3 linked regions of the Arabidopsis thaliana genome follow. The protein of the gene in region 1 purifies or fractionates together with the protein of each later gene. This does not show direct contact. Each region holds a gene or a part of one and is shown in the gene's direction. Other genes may lie near its edges.

The links. Proteins that work in one complex are often made in the same cells at the same time.
Region 2: the proteins of KEG (region 1) and eIF6A purify together in Arabidopsis thaliana (affinity purification with mass spectrometry, with the first as the bait; one study listed by BioGRID). This does not show direct contact.
Region 3: the proteins of KEG (region 1) and CIPK26 purify together in Arabidopsis thaliana (affinity purification with mass spectrometry, with the first as the bait; one study listed by BioGRID). This does not show direct contact.

What each region holds. Positions count from the first base shown.
Region 1 is NC_003076.8:4,343,433-4,348,212, forward strand, and holds the start of KEG (protein kinases;ubiquitin-protein ligase), read left to right. Parts: upstream 1-1,769; 5' UTR 1,770-2,185; coding exon 2,186-2,928; intron 2,929-3,754; coding exon 3,755-4,108; intron 4,109-4,188; coding exon 4,189-4,419; intron 4,420-4,600; coding exon 4,601-4,726; intron 4,727-4,780. Other genes in the region: AT5G13520 (peptidase M1 family protein), read right to left, coding at 1-19, 144-1,139. UniProt on the Arabidopsis thaliana protein: Mediates E2-dependent protein ubiquitination. Acts as a negative regulator of abscisic acid signaling. Required for ABI5 degradation, by mediating its ubiquitination.
Region 2 is NC_003074.8:20,632,465-20,637,055, forward strand, and holds eIF6A (Translation initiation factor IF6), read left to right. Parts: upstream 1-1,592; 5' UTR 1,593-1,869; intron 1,870-2,092; 5' UTR 2,093-2,116; coding exon 2,117-2,126; intron 2,127-2,214; coding exon 2,215-2,311; intron 2,312-2,405; coding exon 2,406-2,491; intron 2,492-2,592; coding exon 2,593-2,637; intron 2,638-3,009; coding exon 3,010-3,140; intron 3,141-3,389; coding exon 3,390-3,500; intron 3,501-3,590; coding exon 3,591-3,848; 3' UTR 3,849-4,091; downstream 4,092-4,591. Other genes in the region: DFD (DHFS-FPGS homolog D), read left to right, coding at 4,321-4,330, 4,431-4,561. UniProt on the Arabidopsis thaliana protein: Binds to the 60S ribosomal subunit and prevents its association with the 40S ribosomal subunit to form the 80S initiation complex in the cytoplasm. May also be involved in ribosome biogenesis.
Region 3 is NC_003076.8:7,215,572-7,222,521, forward strand, and holds CIPK26 (Ca2+regulated serine-threonine protein kinase family protein), read left to right. Parts: upstream 1-1,672; 5' UTR 1,673-1,935; intron 1,936-2,476; 5' UTR 2,477-2,509; coding exon 2,510-2,680; intron 2,681-2,766; coding exon 2,767-2,829; intron 2,830-2,947; coding exon 2,948-3,019; intron 3,020-3,214; coding exon 3,215-3,322; intron 3,323-3,405; coding exon 3,406-3,486; intron 3,487-3,688; coding exon 3,689-3,742; intron 3,743-3,828; coding exon 3,829-3,954; intron 3,955-4,043; coding exon 4,044-4,133; intron 4,134-4,945; coding exon 4,946-5,068; intron 5,069-5,174; coding exon 5,175-5,285; intron 5,286-5,391; coding exon 5,392-5,505; intron 5,506-5,782; coding exon 5,783-5,839; intron 5,840-5,941; coding exon 5,942-6,016; intron 6,017-6,097; coding exon 6,098-6,172; 3' UTR 6,173-6,450; downstream 6,451-6,950. Other genes in the region: CAM6 (calmodulin 6), read right to left, coding at 304-379; NdhU (Chaperone DnaJ-domain superfamily protein), read left to right, coding at 6,723-6,950. UniProt on the Arabidopsis thaliana protein: CIPK serine-threonine protein kinases interact with CBL proteins. Binding of a CBL protein to the regulatory NAF domain of CIPK protein lead to the activation of the kinase in a calcium-dependent manner.

The sequences.
Region 1 (4,780 bases):
CTGCGTAAGTTGTAAATCCCTATTGCCATGAACATGAAATAAACACTTTCCCATCAACAAGGCAAACTCTAAAAACGGACACACAGTTACACATCCTAATTTGTAGCTAAAAGAAGCAAAAGCACAAGACAATTCAAAGCTACCTCATTCAACCAGAAGTGTTCATTGTTGATATTAGTGATCAAATTCCCAGTCCAGCTATGTGCGAGCTCGTGAGCTACAACTTGAGCTCCAGTGGCGTCTCCTTTGATAACAGTAGGCGTCAGGAAAACCATTCTTGGATTCTCCATACCTCCATAAGGAAAACTCGGAGGCAGCACCAGTAAGTCAAATCTCTCCCACTCGTAATCTCCAAACAGCTTCTCCCCTTGCTTGATCATATCCTCCGTTCCTGCAAACTCCAGAGCAGCCGCATCTAGAACTTCAATGGCGGCAGATTCTGTGTATACCCGAGTCCTAGGTCCAACTTCCCGAAACCCTAACTCACCAACGGCAAAAGCAAATAGATAAGGCGGTATAGGCTGTTCCATAGCAAACTCTTCCACAACTCTATCCTCACCACACCACAGTGACGACCCCAGCGACCCAGCCTCGAGATGTTTAGCCTCCTCAGGAACCGCAAGCCTACGACGGACGTGGCGAGCCGACATGACGGCAGAGAGCGAATTCGGTATGTTCATAACGACGTCGTAACGGATCCTCGCGGCAGGAGTGTCCTGGCATGGGAAAATGGATCTGGCGTGAATCGCTTGACACTGCGTGTAGACATAAGGATGCAATTTGGAGAAAGTTTGAAGCGGCGAAAGCCACTGGAGAGCGGAAGCAGAAGGCGAAGTGGAGTAGACAATTAGCAGTGAAGATTGACCGGAGAGGACTACGACAACTTCGGTGCCCCGAATTCGATCCGGTGTGGTGGAGACGGAGTAAGGGATAGGCTCGAGAGTGAGAGGATCGAGGACCATAGCAATGGAAATGCAGCGAGTATCAAGAGAGAGTTCGCCGGAGAAGGCGGAGGAGAGAGTGAGGAGAGCGGAGCCATGGATTATGGAGGTGTTGAAATCGAGGTAGAGGGAGAGAGCGACATGCGTGGTGAGAGGATGAGAGGAATCGGTGAAAGAGTGTGGATCAATGGGTGCCATTGCTGAGTGAGAGAAGCTTGCTTAGGGTTTTGAGGAAAGGGGCAGTTAGAGAGGTGGAGAAGAGAGTATAAAGCGGGAGAAAAAGAAAAAATGAAGAATTGTTGTTCGATGGTACCATTTTATGATGATAAATAATGTATTTTTGGAATAATTTGGTTAATGGAGAATCATTTAGTGCATAAAGTTGAAACCGTTAGATATTAAACGGCGACTAAATACAATGTTAAACCCAAGTTGGATGAACCAAAAGCACACCAAGCCACCAACAATCCTGAGATTTTTAACAACCATCTTTTTGGGCTTGAGCCTCTATTGAGCTTCAAGTTTTAGGTCCATGAGTTATACACTCACACGAGTAATCTACTTAGCAACAAACAACGAGTTTACATTTTGGTATTGGTGTCAGATTTATCGTCTCATTATTTGGTGAACTCTATTACAAGATCAAACAATCTATTTGTTTTTGCATTTGGCTCAAAAGCTACTTGGTAAAAACTTCGCCAAAAAAAAAAACTCTCAGTAAAAATTACAATTATTTTTTCCTGATGGTTTAAGTTGTTGATGACAACAAATATAAAATCTGATGGTTGACGATTACTACTATTAGGAGAGTCAATAAACGGGTTCGAGCACAAGTGCTGACGGCACCCACCCGTCAAAACCGACGAAACCAGAGAGCCCTCGAGACTCAACCCCAAATAAAATTGGAAAAAAATGAAAATAAAAATAAAAATGATGATATAAAACCCTGAAGAAGAACCTTTTTCACATTTTTCTTACAATTTTTATTCTTGCTTGCTCGTGTCTGATTTTTCCCAGCCAATTTTGATCTACCTTTCAAAAATTCCACCTTTTTCTTTCTTCTCCATGGATCTGTTCTTCTCTCCTTGATCTGGATCGACTTTACTGAGTTTCCTTCCCCCCCCCCCCCCCCCAGATATGTTCTGAGGAACTCTCTCTACTGAATTGATTGGTCTTTCACTCCCTTCTTACTCTTTGATCTCGCGACCTAAATTAATTTAGGGCTTTCTCTTTTCGGAGCTCTCATGGTTGGGAGAGTCAAGGTCCCTTGTTGTTCCGTGTGCCACACGCGGTATAATGAAGATGAGAGAGTTCCTTTATTGCTTCAATGCGGCCATGGCTTCTGCAAAGATTGTCTTTCCAAGATGTTCTCTACTTCTTCCGACACAACCCTCACTTGTCCCCGGTGTCGCCACGTGTCTGTTGTTGGGAACTCTGTTCAGGGTCTCAGGAAGAACTACGCTATGCTTGCTCTCATTCACGCCGCATCCGGCGGCGCTAACTTCGATTGCGATTACACGGATGATGAGGATGACGACGATGAAGAAGATGGTAGTGATGAAGATGGAGCTCGTGCCGCTCGTGGATTTCATGCCTCAAGCTCGATTAATAGCTTGTGTGGTCCAGTGATCGAGGTCGGAGCTCACCCGGAGATGAAGCTGGTGAGGCAGATTGGGGAAGAGAGTAGTAGTGGTGGTTTTGGAGGTGTGGAGATGTGGGATGCAACTGTTGCAGGCGGTGGTGGACGGTGTAAGCACCGTGTGGCGGTGAAAAAGATGACTTTGACGGAGGACATGGATGTTGAGTGGATGCAGGGACAGCTTGAGAGCTTGCGGAGAGCATCCATGTGGTGTAGGAATGTTTGTACTTTCCATGGGGTTGTGAAGATGGATGGATCTCTTTGTCTTTTGATGGACAGGTGCTTTGGGTCTGTTCAGTCTGAGATGCAACGCAATGAAGGCAGACTTACTTTGGAGCAGATTCTAAGGTTCCTCTTTTGCTTCTCTTATTCTTTTTTTTTGCCTAGTATCTGGCTTTTACTGTGATCGTTTCTGTGCTTAAAGTCTCAAACTTTGATAGCCTGTTCCCTAATTAGAAATTACTGGACTAGACCCGACTTGGTTTTTTGTGATTGCTATTAGAAATATATATTGTAAGTGCACAGTTTTTCAGATTCTAGTGAAACAAGCAACTAAAACCTGGTGTCATTTGCCAAAAGGGCAACTTGTAAGATAACTTTAGTTTAGATGTTCTTAAAAAGCTAGGCACGAATTATAGTAGTTGTCATCTCTCTTTGTCATTACCAGCTGCAGCTACTTTTCATCTGTCAATGCCTCAATAGACAAACATTTTTTGGACTAGTCCTTTCCTTTTTAGTAGTGGATCCTTGAACCTACGTTTGCAAGATATCTTTGAGAAAGCCCTTTACATTAGTATGCTTCCTTCTAAAGTATATGACCAGAAATCATTTTTCAACGAACTGACATATCAAATCATGCAAAAAATTGTACGAATTGTTATACATTAATTTATCAAAGGACGCATCATCTAAAGATGATCCTTATTTTGTTGTCCTGGTTCTAATATTACCTTCAATTCACTTGTTTGTATTTCCTCCTATTTTCTGTTTTTAACTGAATTGCGTCATTTGGGACTATTAAATGTAAGCACTAATGCGTAAATGAGTGTTTTGTATTCTCCTTTCATATCGTGCTCATGTTGTTTTAAGTTTACAACTTAGAATATTCCTTCAGTGACCAACATATGTATTATTCCATTGCTCTTGTTGTGATATTAAATTTTACCAACTGTAGATATGGGGCTGATGTTGCTCGAGGGGTTGCAGAACTCCATGCAGCAGGTGTTATCTGTATGAATATAAAACCTTCCAATCTTCTTTTGGATGCAAGCGGCAATGCTGTGGTTTCTGATTATGGGCTCGCTCCCATCCTAAAGAAGCCAACATGCCAGAAAACTCGACCAGAGTTTGATTCCTCAAAAGTCACTCTATACACGGACTGTGTAACACTCAGTCCACACTACACTGCCCCAGAGGCTTGGGGACCGGTGAAAAAACTTTTTTGGGAGGATGCAAGTGGTGTATCTCCAGAATCAGATGCATGGAGTTTTGGCTGTACGTTAGTAGAGATGTGCACTGGATCCACTCCGTATGTGAAGCCTCTTCCTAGTTGATATTTCAGTTGTGTTTTGTGTCTGCCATTGTACTAACTGTCACTTAATTTTACAGGTGGGATGGTCTTAGTAGAGAAGAAATTTTTCAAGCTGTTGTGAAAGCCCGAAAAGTACCACCACAGTATGAACGCATAGTGGGTGTGGGAATTCCTCGGGAATTATGGAAAATGATTGGTGAATGTCTTCAGTTTAAACCGTCGAAAAGACCAACCTTTAATGCAATGCTTGCTACATTTCTTCGTCATCTACAAGAGATACCACGTAGCCCTTCAGCAAGCCCTGATAAGTAAGAGTTTTAAGTCCCTAAGATTACTTAGTTTTATGGTTTCCCTGTTTTCGTTGCTTGTCAGTAAAGAAGACCCTTTCACTTGTGTTAAGATTAATATTAGCACCAACACCTAAGATTATTTTTGTCATCATGCCTATATTCCTTCGCCTAACAATAATATAAACCATGTATGATGTAGTGGGATTGCCAAAATATGTGAAGTAAACATTGTACAAGCACCTCGCGCGACTAACATAGGGGTCTTTCAGGATAACCCTAACAACCTACATCGGGTTGTTTTGGAGGGAGACTTTGAGGGTGTAAGGTTAGTATCTGTTAGGAATTCTAGTTAATCCTTTTGTTCGCACTAGCTATAAAC
Region 2 (4,591 bases), on another chromosome or scaffold:
GTTCAGCCAATATGCAACACGAGCCATTTGGATTTTGGTAGGATGGTTTCAATGGAGTTACTAATTAATTTCCGTATAATGGAATTAACTATATAGCGTTTCTCGACTCAATAGTGACCTCCGAATTTTTATAAAACAATAATAATAATTAAAGGCAAATTTTGATTGGTACTGTTTGAATTAAATTGTTAAAAATGTATTTTGAAGAAAAAGAGGTCATCACGACGAGCTTCCAAAAGTGGAAAAGTCTAGTGCCGTCACGTTCAGAGACTATATAATACAAGCAAACAAGAAGTTACACTTATTTCTTTTTCCTTTTCTGCAGTTTTCTTCACGAACTGGAAAATCTCGTAGCCGTTTAGATATTTTCCTTGCATCCTTTTCACGAGAGTTTTAAAAAACTTGAACAACACCGGCTAAAAAAGGTTTCTCTTTTGTTTGGAACGACTCTATTAGAAAAACGTTTGATTGTTCTAAAAGGTTGGTTAAAATTAAAACTCTTGACATAATAAGTCTTCTATTTTGTTTTATTTTAATATACGTGGTGACAAGACGACGCATATAGAAGAAGAAAATCCAAAGAATCATTATCACTGTGCTATTAAAAAAATTTCATCGATTAAAAGTTAATAGAGACATGTCGACAAGAAATAAAAGTTAATGTAGACATAAGTGAGCTATAGACCGACAGGAAAATAAAAGAAAAACAGTTAATACATTTTTTTTATTTATTTATCAAACAGTTAATACATTATTAAAGTTAATTCAGTCATCGTGAAAAATGCTTTGAGTGATAATCAAAACGAGATTTAGCTTAATACAAACCAACTACTATAGAAGAAAGAAACAGAACCCTTTATTAAACATAAAAATAAAGATACCATTCGTGCTACATCAGGAAAAGTATTCGACAATAATTGAATGGAGACACTGCCCATTATGTTTGATATGCATATGTTCTCGAGATGTTGTGAAGTTCTAAAAAATCGAATAGAGATATGCAGATGTTTTTTAAAAGATTTATATTCCAATAATGGGCTTTAGCTGCCCTCTTTCCTTTGCAATAATGGGCTTTTACTCTAATTTGTAGTAGTTTTTTTTTCTATACCACTAACTTGTAGATTATTTCAAGTAAGAGACATAAACAAATACAGTATAACCACGTTTGTAAATTTTGGTTAAATTCTGCTTAGCAAAATGCCCCCCAAATAAAATTAAATACTATAAACACCAAGTTTACAAGCCAAAACCAACTACACTACTACAGTATTTTTAATTTTAAAGAATCCACAACATACACCATTAATATCATAATCTCAAACCCAACTTTAATGACTTTTGATTGCCACTTAAAACATCTCTACAATACCTCATTTTACATGCTCCAATTCCCCATTACCAACTATAATCTTACTCCATCTCTTATTCACCACTTACATTTTTCCAAATCACATTCTCACCAAAAAAAAACTGATTTCATTATAAAAACTCTCAACATTTTTTTCCAAATATAATCAAAATAGTTTTCAAAAGTAGTCTTGACTTTCAACATTACTTTTTTTTTTTTTTAACATCTTCATTTTATTGATATTGTACTTTCAACATTCCTTTTCCTCCAAGGCTTTCAAACAAGATAATTTGTCTTCTTTTTTTTTTAATTTATTTAAAATCTTTTTTTAATGATGTATAATTGGAGCCTCCTTTAAATTAGGGCCCAAACGGTGGCTTCTTTTAGATTATAACCCAGGGCCGGCGCAACCCTTCTTCTTAACAAAAACCTTTTGATTCCAATTGTTCTTCTCTCTTCTTCTTCTTCTTCTTCTTCTTCTTCTTCGCCGCTTCTTCTCTCTCGAATTCACCCCATCTCAAGTAAGCTTCTCCTATTTCCTTGTTATACCAAACAAACACCATCTTCAAGTCAATTGATTTTGTTACCCTAATTGTTCCCGTCCCCGTCTTGTAATATAATCGAAAAATCGAAACTTTCTGTTTTAGAGACATGGATTTTGTGAACCCTAATTGTTAACGAATCGTTGATATCTGTGACGTATATAAACCCTAATTTCGTTTTCATGTTTCTTTATCTACGCAGGTGTACGTTAGCCTCCTCCCTCTAATGGCGACTCGTAAGTTTTCTGCAGAGCTTACTTATGATATTGTTGTGTTTACTCTTCTGTGTATTTGACCTTAATGGGATTTGTGGGTAATACGCAGGTCTTCAGTTTGAGAACAACTGCGAAGTTGGTGTCTTTTCCAAACTCACTAATGCCTATTGCTTAGTCGCTATAGGAGGCTCTGAGAACTTTTACAGGTACCTTTTTTTTTTTTCTCTGTAAAGTTTTCAGTATTGTTTTTGCTTCTTCTATTTCACTTTTTTGATGTTTTTGGTTTGATGATTTGTGTAGTGCTTTTGAGTCGGAGTTAGCAGATGTTATCCCTATTGTTAAGACCTCTATTGGAGGAACACGAATTATTGGGCGTCTTTGTGCTGGTTAGCTTTCTCAACTAGCTGTTATATTTTCTTGCTTCAAATCATCGTGATTATTTCATTACTTTAGCGTAGTGAATGTGGTTTTGTGTTTCTTCGTATAGGAAACAAGAATGGGCTTCTTGTACCTCATACAACAACTGACCAAGGTAATTTTATACTTCTTTCCTCAGATCGTTTCTCATAACAATTAAGAATTGATTGTTTAATACCAGCATGATCCAGTTGTCTGAGATAGAGATTGTAGAGTTTTTGGTGAATATCTTTTATGTAACTTGCCTGAAGCATCTACTCTGCGCCTCTGCCCATACCTGTTTCATTTCAGTTTATGAGTGGACTTTTTATAACTGAATAAGCTTTTGGTGAAGATGATTTTCCTCCTTAACTTGTTGATGATTTTGTAATGTTGCAATATTTATTGAGTCTCTTGTTCTTTTATATTAGAAATCTATATAGGTTTTAGGTCTGTAATTGGTTGCATCTCCTGAGTCCTGCTTATTTTTTTATGTTTACTCGTCCAGAGCTTCAACACTTAAGGAACAGTCTACCTGATCAAGTTGTGGTCCAGCGAATTGATGAACGTCTGTCTGCTCTTGGAAATTGCATTGCCTGCAATGACTATGTAGCTCTTGCCCACACCGATCTTGATAAGGTAAAGATTCATGTCATACTTTATTTTTCTAATGAAACCTTTTCAAAAACATATACTCTTTTCATGACTGGCAAGAAATGGTGAAAGAATAAGTGCGCATTTTTACAAAAGTTAGCAGAAATGTAATTAAGCCTTTGTAATCACCATGAATCTTATATCTTCTGATGATGATGATAACGATAACAGAGTTGTACGTATGGCGTTTGGTTTGATGCCTCTGGTTCTTGTGTTTTTATTTTGCTTTGATAGGAAACCGAGGAAATAATAGCGGATGTACTTGGCGTTGAAGTTTTCCGTCAGACAATTGCAGGCAACATTCTCGTGGGCAGTTACTGTGCCCTATCCAACAAAGGTGGAATGGTAAGAGAATGAAAAACATAACTTCCCTTCGGAAATGGATGGCATTGGCATTGGTCTCTCATTAGAATTTGAATGTCTTTTCTCAAATAGGTCCATCCTCACACCTCAGTGGAAGACTTGGAAGAACTCTCAACACTTCTTCAAGTCCCTCTCGTTGCAGGAACCGTGAACCGTGGTAGTGAAGTTATCGCTGCGGGTATGACCGTTAATGATTGGACCTCTTTCTGCGGTTCAGACACAACTGCGACTGAGCTCTCTGTCATAGACAGCATCTTCAAGCTAAGGGAAGCCCAACCCAGCTCTATCGTCGATGAGATGAGGAAGTCATTGATCGATACCTATGTTTAAATTTTGTTTGTTTGGATGACACACACATCCCAACATCGCCAATGTGTCAATGTCAGAAAATTTTCATACTCTACTGTTTGCAAGAATTAGCTGTTTTATTTTATTTTTGTGTGGTTTTTAACAGTTTAAAGGAAATCTGTTGATGTCTCTTTGAATCTTTCTGAGTAAGTGATAAGAAAATTCTCCTTAATACTACACACATTTTCAATTTTCAATTTGGGGTCCACATTAGGTTCAAATTTTAGTGGAGAAGAAACCATTGGTGAATGGATAACGGTTTTGTTCGGTACAAATCCGAATTCTGCAATTATATGTGTGTAGATAAAGTTAACACCTTTTTCGTTTAGATAGTTTGAAGATTAAACTGAAAGTTAGGACCTTTCATTTCCAATCTCTAAACCCATTTCTCTACGATTAGAGAAGCTGACATCAAAATTGAAACTTGGGAAATTTTTGGATTTGTTCTTCTTCTATGGCAACTGGTAAATTTTCTGTTTCTCTATAACTGATTTATGACTTTTTCTGACTTTGTGTGTTCATTCTTTTACGTTTTCTGTTTGTTTGCCGGGAAACAAAATGAAGAAGACGATGGTGAATTGTCAGCTCGTTACCAGAACACGTTGGATGCATTGTCGTCTTTGATCACAAAACGTGGCCGTTTAGCTAGTAACAACCAATCTCACCGATTCCGTTTGCTCTTTCATTATCTCAAGGTTACAAATCACTTAAGCTTTTTTGTGTGT
Region 3 (6,950 bases), 2.9 Mb from region 1:
TGATATCTACAACATCAATCCTTTTTTCAACAATTAAACTACTCAAAATCTCAACATATGGATAAATTTCCCAAAACATTTCATTGCTGCATCACGAGACTGAACCAGAACAAGAACAAAACACAGCGTGAGTCATGAATCGCTATCGAATTAGCCAAAAGCTAGATCGTTCACAAGTGAAACAAACACGAATCATACAGAAAACTGAAGAAGATCATAAATCTGTCAAACAAATTCCAGAACTCGTATACGGACGGAGTAATCATCGGGGAAAAAACGCAAAGATCTGGGAAAGAAACATACCATCACCATCCTTATCGAAGAGGCTAAAGGCTTCCTTGAACTCTGAGATCTGGTCATCGGTGAGCTGATCCGCCATTTTCCTTCTTACCTTTTTTTAGAAATCCCAGATTTTTTTTTTGCTACTGAATATATTATTTGCCTCTCTAATAATAATTCAGCAAGAGAGCTTATAAAAGAGAGAGAGCCCAACAACTTATGGTTGGGCCTCTAAAGATTTACTAGCTAATTCAGTAATTCTTATGATTTTTTTGTCTTTTTAGTTTAGTTTTTTAAGACAATTATAAAGAAAACTATAACCTTTGCAGTTAATTTAGACATATATACTAGGTAATAAATCTATCAAATTAACAATTATTAATTTTTTTTGACTATTTTCAAAACTGATTTAGTAGAATATTTTACAGTATATCAATTAAACTTTTGACATTATTTTTTTCATTTAAATATTTAATTATAAAAAGTTTTTAAACTAGGATAGATATTTAAGGATATTAATTAATTTGGAAAATTAAAAAAAAACTTATAATATGTTGAAAAAAATAATATATGGATACATATGAAATGATTAGAGTATCCTCTAAATTTACGTTACAGAAACGGATATGTATAAGCAAAAATTTTACATGAATACACTTTTTTGTAGAAATAGTTAAACTTGAATCGATTTTACATGTTTTGTTTTAATTTAAATGGATACTTAATAAAAAAGTTAGTCAATATCTCTACATTTTTTCCAAGTAAACTGTTTTTAAATTTTTTTAGTTTTTATATTAAAAACAAAAAGAGTGTTCGATCATTTATATGAGTCTTATTATTCCACACCTCTAGAATATATATGTACTCGCTACAAATGAGTCTAATGAGCTTTTGCCGTTGATGATTTGTTCAATGTTCTAATAATTGTCATCAGTCTATAACCATTGACACTACACAAAACGGTTGCAATGTATGACTTTTGTTGAACTTTGTAGTGACTAGTAAGTAAGTGAGAGTGAAGAAGCAACGGTTTTTCTTTCTTACAAAAAACTCATATATACTTCAGAGTTAAGACTTAAAAATATATAATAGTGGATAAAATCAGTTACAACTATTTTTTTTTTTAAATGGTCTGTAACAAAAACATAAGAATTCATCGATTACTTAGAAACAACTCAAATGAGAAAGAAAAAAAAACACCTATTGATTAGGTCCATATCTAGTCAAAATCTGAATACTCAAATATTTTGTCATTACATTAATTAACCCAAAATAATTGACCAAAAAAGGCAAAAAACATAATTTTATTTCTTAAGAAAATTGAGGAGCTTAACAAAGGAAAGAAACGTATAATTGTCCCATACGAAAAAAAAAAATTAAAAAACAAGTGTCCATTAAAGTGAGAGAGTCCCTACACGAAATTAAATAAGTTTTTGTCTGTTAGCTACAAATTTCTCTACAATCATCGTATCTCTTTCGTCGCATCTCTATCTCTTGTTGCTCCTTGTATTAGCCCATCATTTTTTTATTTCTCCTGCGAATTCTCCGCCATAGATTTTCTTTTGAATTTCTCCTGCTAACTCTTGAGCTCCCCAAAGGCGGCTACATCGGTTTTGTCACCTCTACTCGCTCACTTTTCTCCGTCCAATTTTGCAGGTTTGTTGGTCGATTCTCCATGTTTTTGCTTCGAATTCGATGAGTAATTCGGTAACTTAGAGAGTTGCTTACGCTTTTGGTTTATGTGTAAAGTGTGCATAATCTCTATATTATATGATGGTGATGATGATTAGTTCTGTAGCTAACTCGAGAATCTCGCTTCAATTGTGTATCAGTACAAATATTGGTTTAGTGGAGAATTTTGGATTTGTAGATGCTTGCTTGAACAATATATGATTTATCTAAGTCATGATTCTAGAGATTTAGGCTGTTTTTGGAGTAATTAAAAAGGATGATCGGAATTTCCGGAGAAAATCTCCGCTGCTAGATTTGTCATTGCCTTGTGGATTTTCAGCTGTTTTTACGCTTTGTCTTTATTGAATTCTGTGGCATATTACTGTTCTTTTCTTGACGGTTTCTTTCACTTTTTTTGCATTTAGTTTCCGTGAATTGAGCAAAGAAACACTATCTTGCCTGTTGTTGTGTTGGATTCTTTTCATGGAATCATTCTTATATGCGAGATTACATTTTCCAAAAACAGCTTTTGAAGATCAAGAGGTGAACATTCGGAGTGATGAATCGGCCAAAGGTTCAGCGTCGTGTTGGAAAGTATGAGGTTGGAAAGACGCTTGGACAAGGCACTTTTGCGAAAGTTCGGTGTGCTGTTAATACTGAGACAGGAGAACGCGTGGCTCTCAAAATACTTGATAAGGAGAAGGTTCTTAAGCATAAGATGGCTGAACAGGTAACTCTCTTTCCTAATAAGATAATATACTAGATGCATCTTCAGTCCAAAAGTATGATGTGTGTCTTTCCTGATTGTTTTTACAGATAAGGAGAGAAATTTGTACTATGAAGCTGATAAACCATCCAAATGTAGTGCGGCTGTATGAGGTATATCTCCATTTTTCTATTTGTGTCTCTATTTTTCTTTGGCTTGCTTTAGAGCTCTTTGTATGTGAAGCCAATGTGCTGAAGCTAACTTTTAAGGAAATGATTGATACCGTTCCAGGTTTTGGCGAGCAAGACTAAGATATATATTGTTCTAGAGTTCGGCACTGGTGGAGAGCTTTTTGACAAAATTGTGAGTTTTCCTTAATCCCTCCCAATGGATTTATAATTGTTACTTGATCCATCTATTGTTGTTTGAACATGTATGCTAAGCTCTGGTCAATCTTGATAGATGTTCCTGTTTCTTGCAATTGAAACGTTCTCTTATCTCTGATGTAGATTTAACCTTTGTAGATTTAACCTTTGCATTATGTGTAAACTTGTGAAGGTACATGATGGGCGCTTGAAAGAAGAGAATGCACGGAAATATTTTCAGCAGCTTATTAATGCAGTTGATTACTGCCATAGCAGGGGAGTGTACCACCGGGACTTAAAGGTATGATATTTTTTGGTTTATGCCCAAGTTTGCAGTATGTTTCTTTAATGTGCAGATAATTGATACTTACAATTTCACTGCAGCCGGAAAACTTGCTTCTAGATGCTCAAGGAAATCTGAAAGTCTCTGATTTTGGATTGAGTGCGTTGTCCCGACAAGTCAGGGTAATCACTGAGTCTTATTTTTCTTTCTTAGCATCCTTTTGTTTACCTGAATTCTCACTGATTTGTCCTTGTCCTATTCTAATGAAGAAACCTGTAGTTCAACGACGATGTGTCTCATTGACTGTTTATACATATATTTAATAAGCTCTGAATACTGACCATTCTAGATTCTCAGCTTATCAAACTTATTTGGTCTTGGCAGGGTGATGGTCTTCTTCACACTGCATGCGGAACTCCAAACTATGCTGCTCCTGAGGTATGCTTAGGCATGTGTCTTGTATGTCATGCGGTTGTTGCACCATGTTATGTTACTAATAGCTTCGTTGTTGCTCTTGTCACAAGGTTCTTAATGATCAAGGTTATGACGGGGCAACCGCAGACTTGTGGTCCTGTGGAGTGATACTCTTTGTACTACTTGCTGGCTACTTGCCTTTCGAGGATTCTAATCTCATGACGCTGTATAAAAAGGTAAGAAGTTTTGTCATTTTTTCAAAGCTTCTTCTTTCACCATTATCGGTGATTACTGTTTCTATGTTAACACTTTCGTCATTTCTCAGATAATAGCTGGTGAATATCATTGTCCTCCTTGGCTCTCTCCTGGTGCTAAGAACTTGATTGTCCGAATCTTGGATCCAAACCCTATGACTGTAAGATATTTCAGTTTATTAATGCTTTCAAGATTTAAATCTATTCTTCTTTTGTTTTCTTCAGTCGAACCCCAACAATCTTGTCTTGTTTTTATTCTTAGACACTTAGGTAGGTTAGGGCTTACCAGGGTAACATATATGGGAAGATTTGATTGTCTAAGCCCTAACGGCCTAACCCACCAAAGTGGCATTCTATTGTTTGTCTTGTTCTATTTTTAGCATTAGGTTTAATATCAAATATACTTCTTCATATTTAGGCATCATTTACTATTTTGTAAATTGAGTCACAACGTGTAAGCAGAATTATTGACTTGTTTAAAGTAACTGTACGTTTCTGTGTCATATAAATTAATAATTTCCATTCTAGCTGACATTTTCTTTTAGGGATATCTACCTGCAATGAGCTTCTGCTGGTAGATTTTATCATAATCTTTCTAAATTGCTCAAAAGTTTATGATTCTCCTGTATTTTTTAGTTATATACATAGCGGATTATGATAGATATTCAGTTATGATTTGGTGAAGATTGTTTGATTAGTATCTTAATCATGATATATAACTAAGGGCTTATTTATGTGTTTTCTTATTCTGGGTTTTGGGGGGGTTTCCTATTTCTTAAGCTCTTGAATTCTTTGTGTAATCACTTTTATCTACTTTTTATATCAAAGTCTTTCTATATTTCCTCTTCGACTCTTTATTACTTTTTTTTGTGTCTTGCATGTTAAACTTAAACTCATTCAAAACATCTGCGACTAAAGCCGCTCGTCCTTGATTTCAACGGTGGAACTAATTGACTGTGTGTTAACGTGCCAGCGTATCACAATTCCAGAGGTTCTGGGAGATGCGTGGTTCAAGAAAAATTACAAGCCAGCTGTTTTCGAGGAGAAGGAAGAAGCCAACTTGGATGATGTGGACGCTGTTTTCAAAGATTCAGAAGTGAGTCTTATTTATTTTGTCTGCGATCTATAAGATAAATGAACTGTTTTTCCTTTTTTCAAGTTACTTGAATAAATGTACATAACAGTCTGTAATTTATTAACAGGAGCATCATGTCACAGAAAAGAAAGAGGAGCAACCAACTTCAATGAATGCCTTTGAGTTGATATCAATGTCGAGAGCTCTGGATCTCGGGAATTTGTTTGAAGAAGAAGAGGTATGTCTCTTAGACTTAACATACTTATTTGCTTGAATCCTTGAGCAAACACTTGTTTTTCCACATTATATTTTCAGTAATGAAGTCTATACCGTTTAACTTGCAGGGATTCAAGCGAGAAACGAGATTTGCTGCTAAAGGTGCTGCTAATGATTTAGTCCAAAAGATTGAAGAAGCTTCTAAGCCGCTTGGTTTCGATATTCAAAAGAAAAACTATAAGGTAATGCGATCGTGTGAAACCTTAACAGCTATTGGCATCGTCTTTTCCTTTTTCTTAGATGGCTTCCTGTTAGAGTTAAGAATCACAAACACATGATAAAAAGACTCACTCCCTTGGTATAAATCGATAAACTCGAACCTCACCAACAAGTTCACTTATAGACGGATTACCTATTAGGGTAGAAATGAAGGTCCTAATTAACATATTATCACCCTCATTGCTCACTTCGTTACGGTGTGGAAGTTTCCTTTTACTGAAGCGCTACTTATGTACACAGATGAGACTTGAAAACGTGACTGCTGGAAGGAAAGGAAACCTAAGAGTTGCAACTGAGGTACATTATGCACTCCTGACTCTTTTTCTGTTATGAAGTTAGTATCTGAATCCAAATTGTCATGGAACTAAAGAAGTGACCGTATCTTATAATGTTTTGTAGATATTTCAAGTATCACCGTCTCTTCATATGATCGAAGTCCGGAAAACGAAAGGGGATACACTAGAATTCCATAAGGTAATCATTTTTCAAGTTTTCGACTAATATGTTCACTTGAGGACCGATTCTTATATCTCTGTTCATCTACTTTCTTTACAGTTCTACAAGAAGCTCTCAACCTCACTTAACGATGTGGTTTGGAAATCTGGCGAGAGCTCTGGTCTAAGCAAATAAGAAAAAAGACTGATGATTCAAGTCCTTGCTTTGACTATCTTTTATTTAGCTTTTTGCTGATACTTTCTTTCAAGACTCAATTCTTTTAAATATTAGAGACAAAAAGCCATGAGATTGATGACTCTGTAGATATCGAAGCATGTGCAGTAAGTTTATGCTGTTCATATAATTGCAAACTTCGATTGTGTTGTGTCACAAACATTTTGTCTAACTGGGTTTACTTACTACTATTAATGCTCAAAGATGCTGTAAGAACGTTGAAGTAAGCTGAAAACGACATCGTTTCTAAATCTAACACCAAAAGATAAAAAATCGCCGTTGCCGGGGATCGAACCCGGGTCACCCGCGTGACAGGCGGGAATACTTACCACTATACTACAACGACCTTGTTGATAAAGAATCATAACTAATACTATATAGCTGTGTCTTATTATAGTGGACCTGCATTATTTATTTATCCGCTTAGATTTCTATGGTTGATACAATTTTGGTATCCGTTATCAATTAAAATTCGAAATATTTGTGTGTTTGGTGTGTAAACCTTGGAGCTATGGCTTCCTTATCGACGATAACTCAACCATCTTTAGTCCACATTCCCGGTGAATCAGTCCTCCATCACGTACCAAGCACGTGCTCTTTCCCATGGAAGCCAACTATCAACACGAAGCGGATTATCTGTTCGCCGGCTAGGAACTCCAGCGAAGTATCGGCGGAGGCAGAAACCGAAGGTGGATCTAGCACCGCCGTTGATGAAGCACCGAAAGAGTCTCCATCTTTA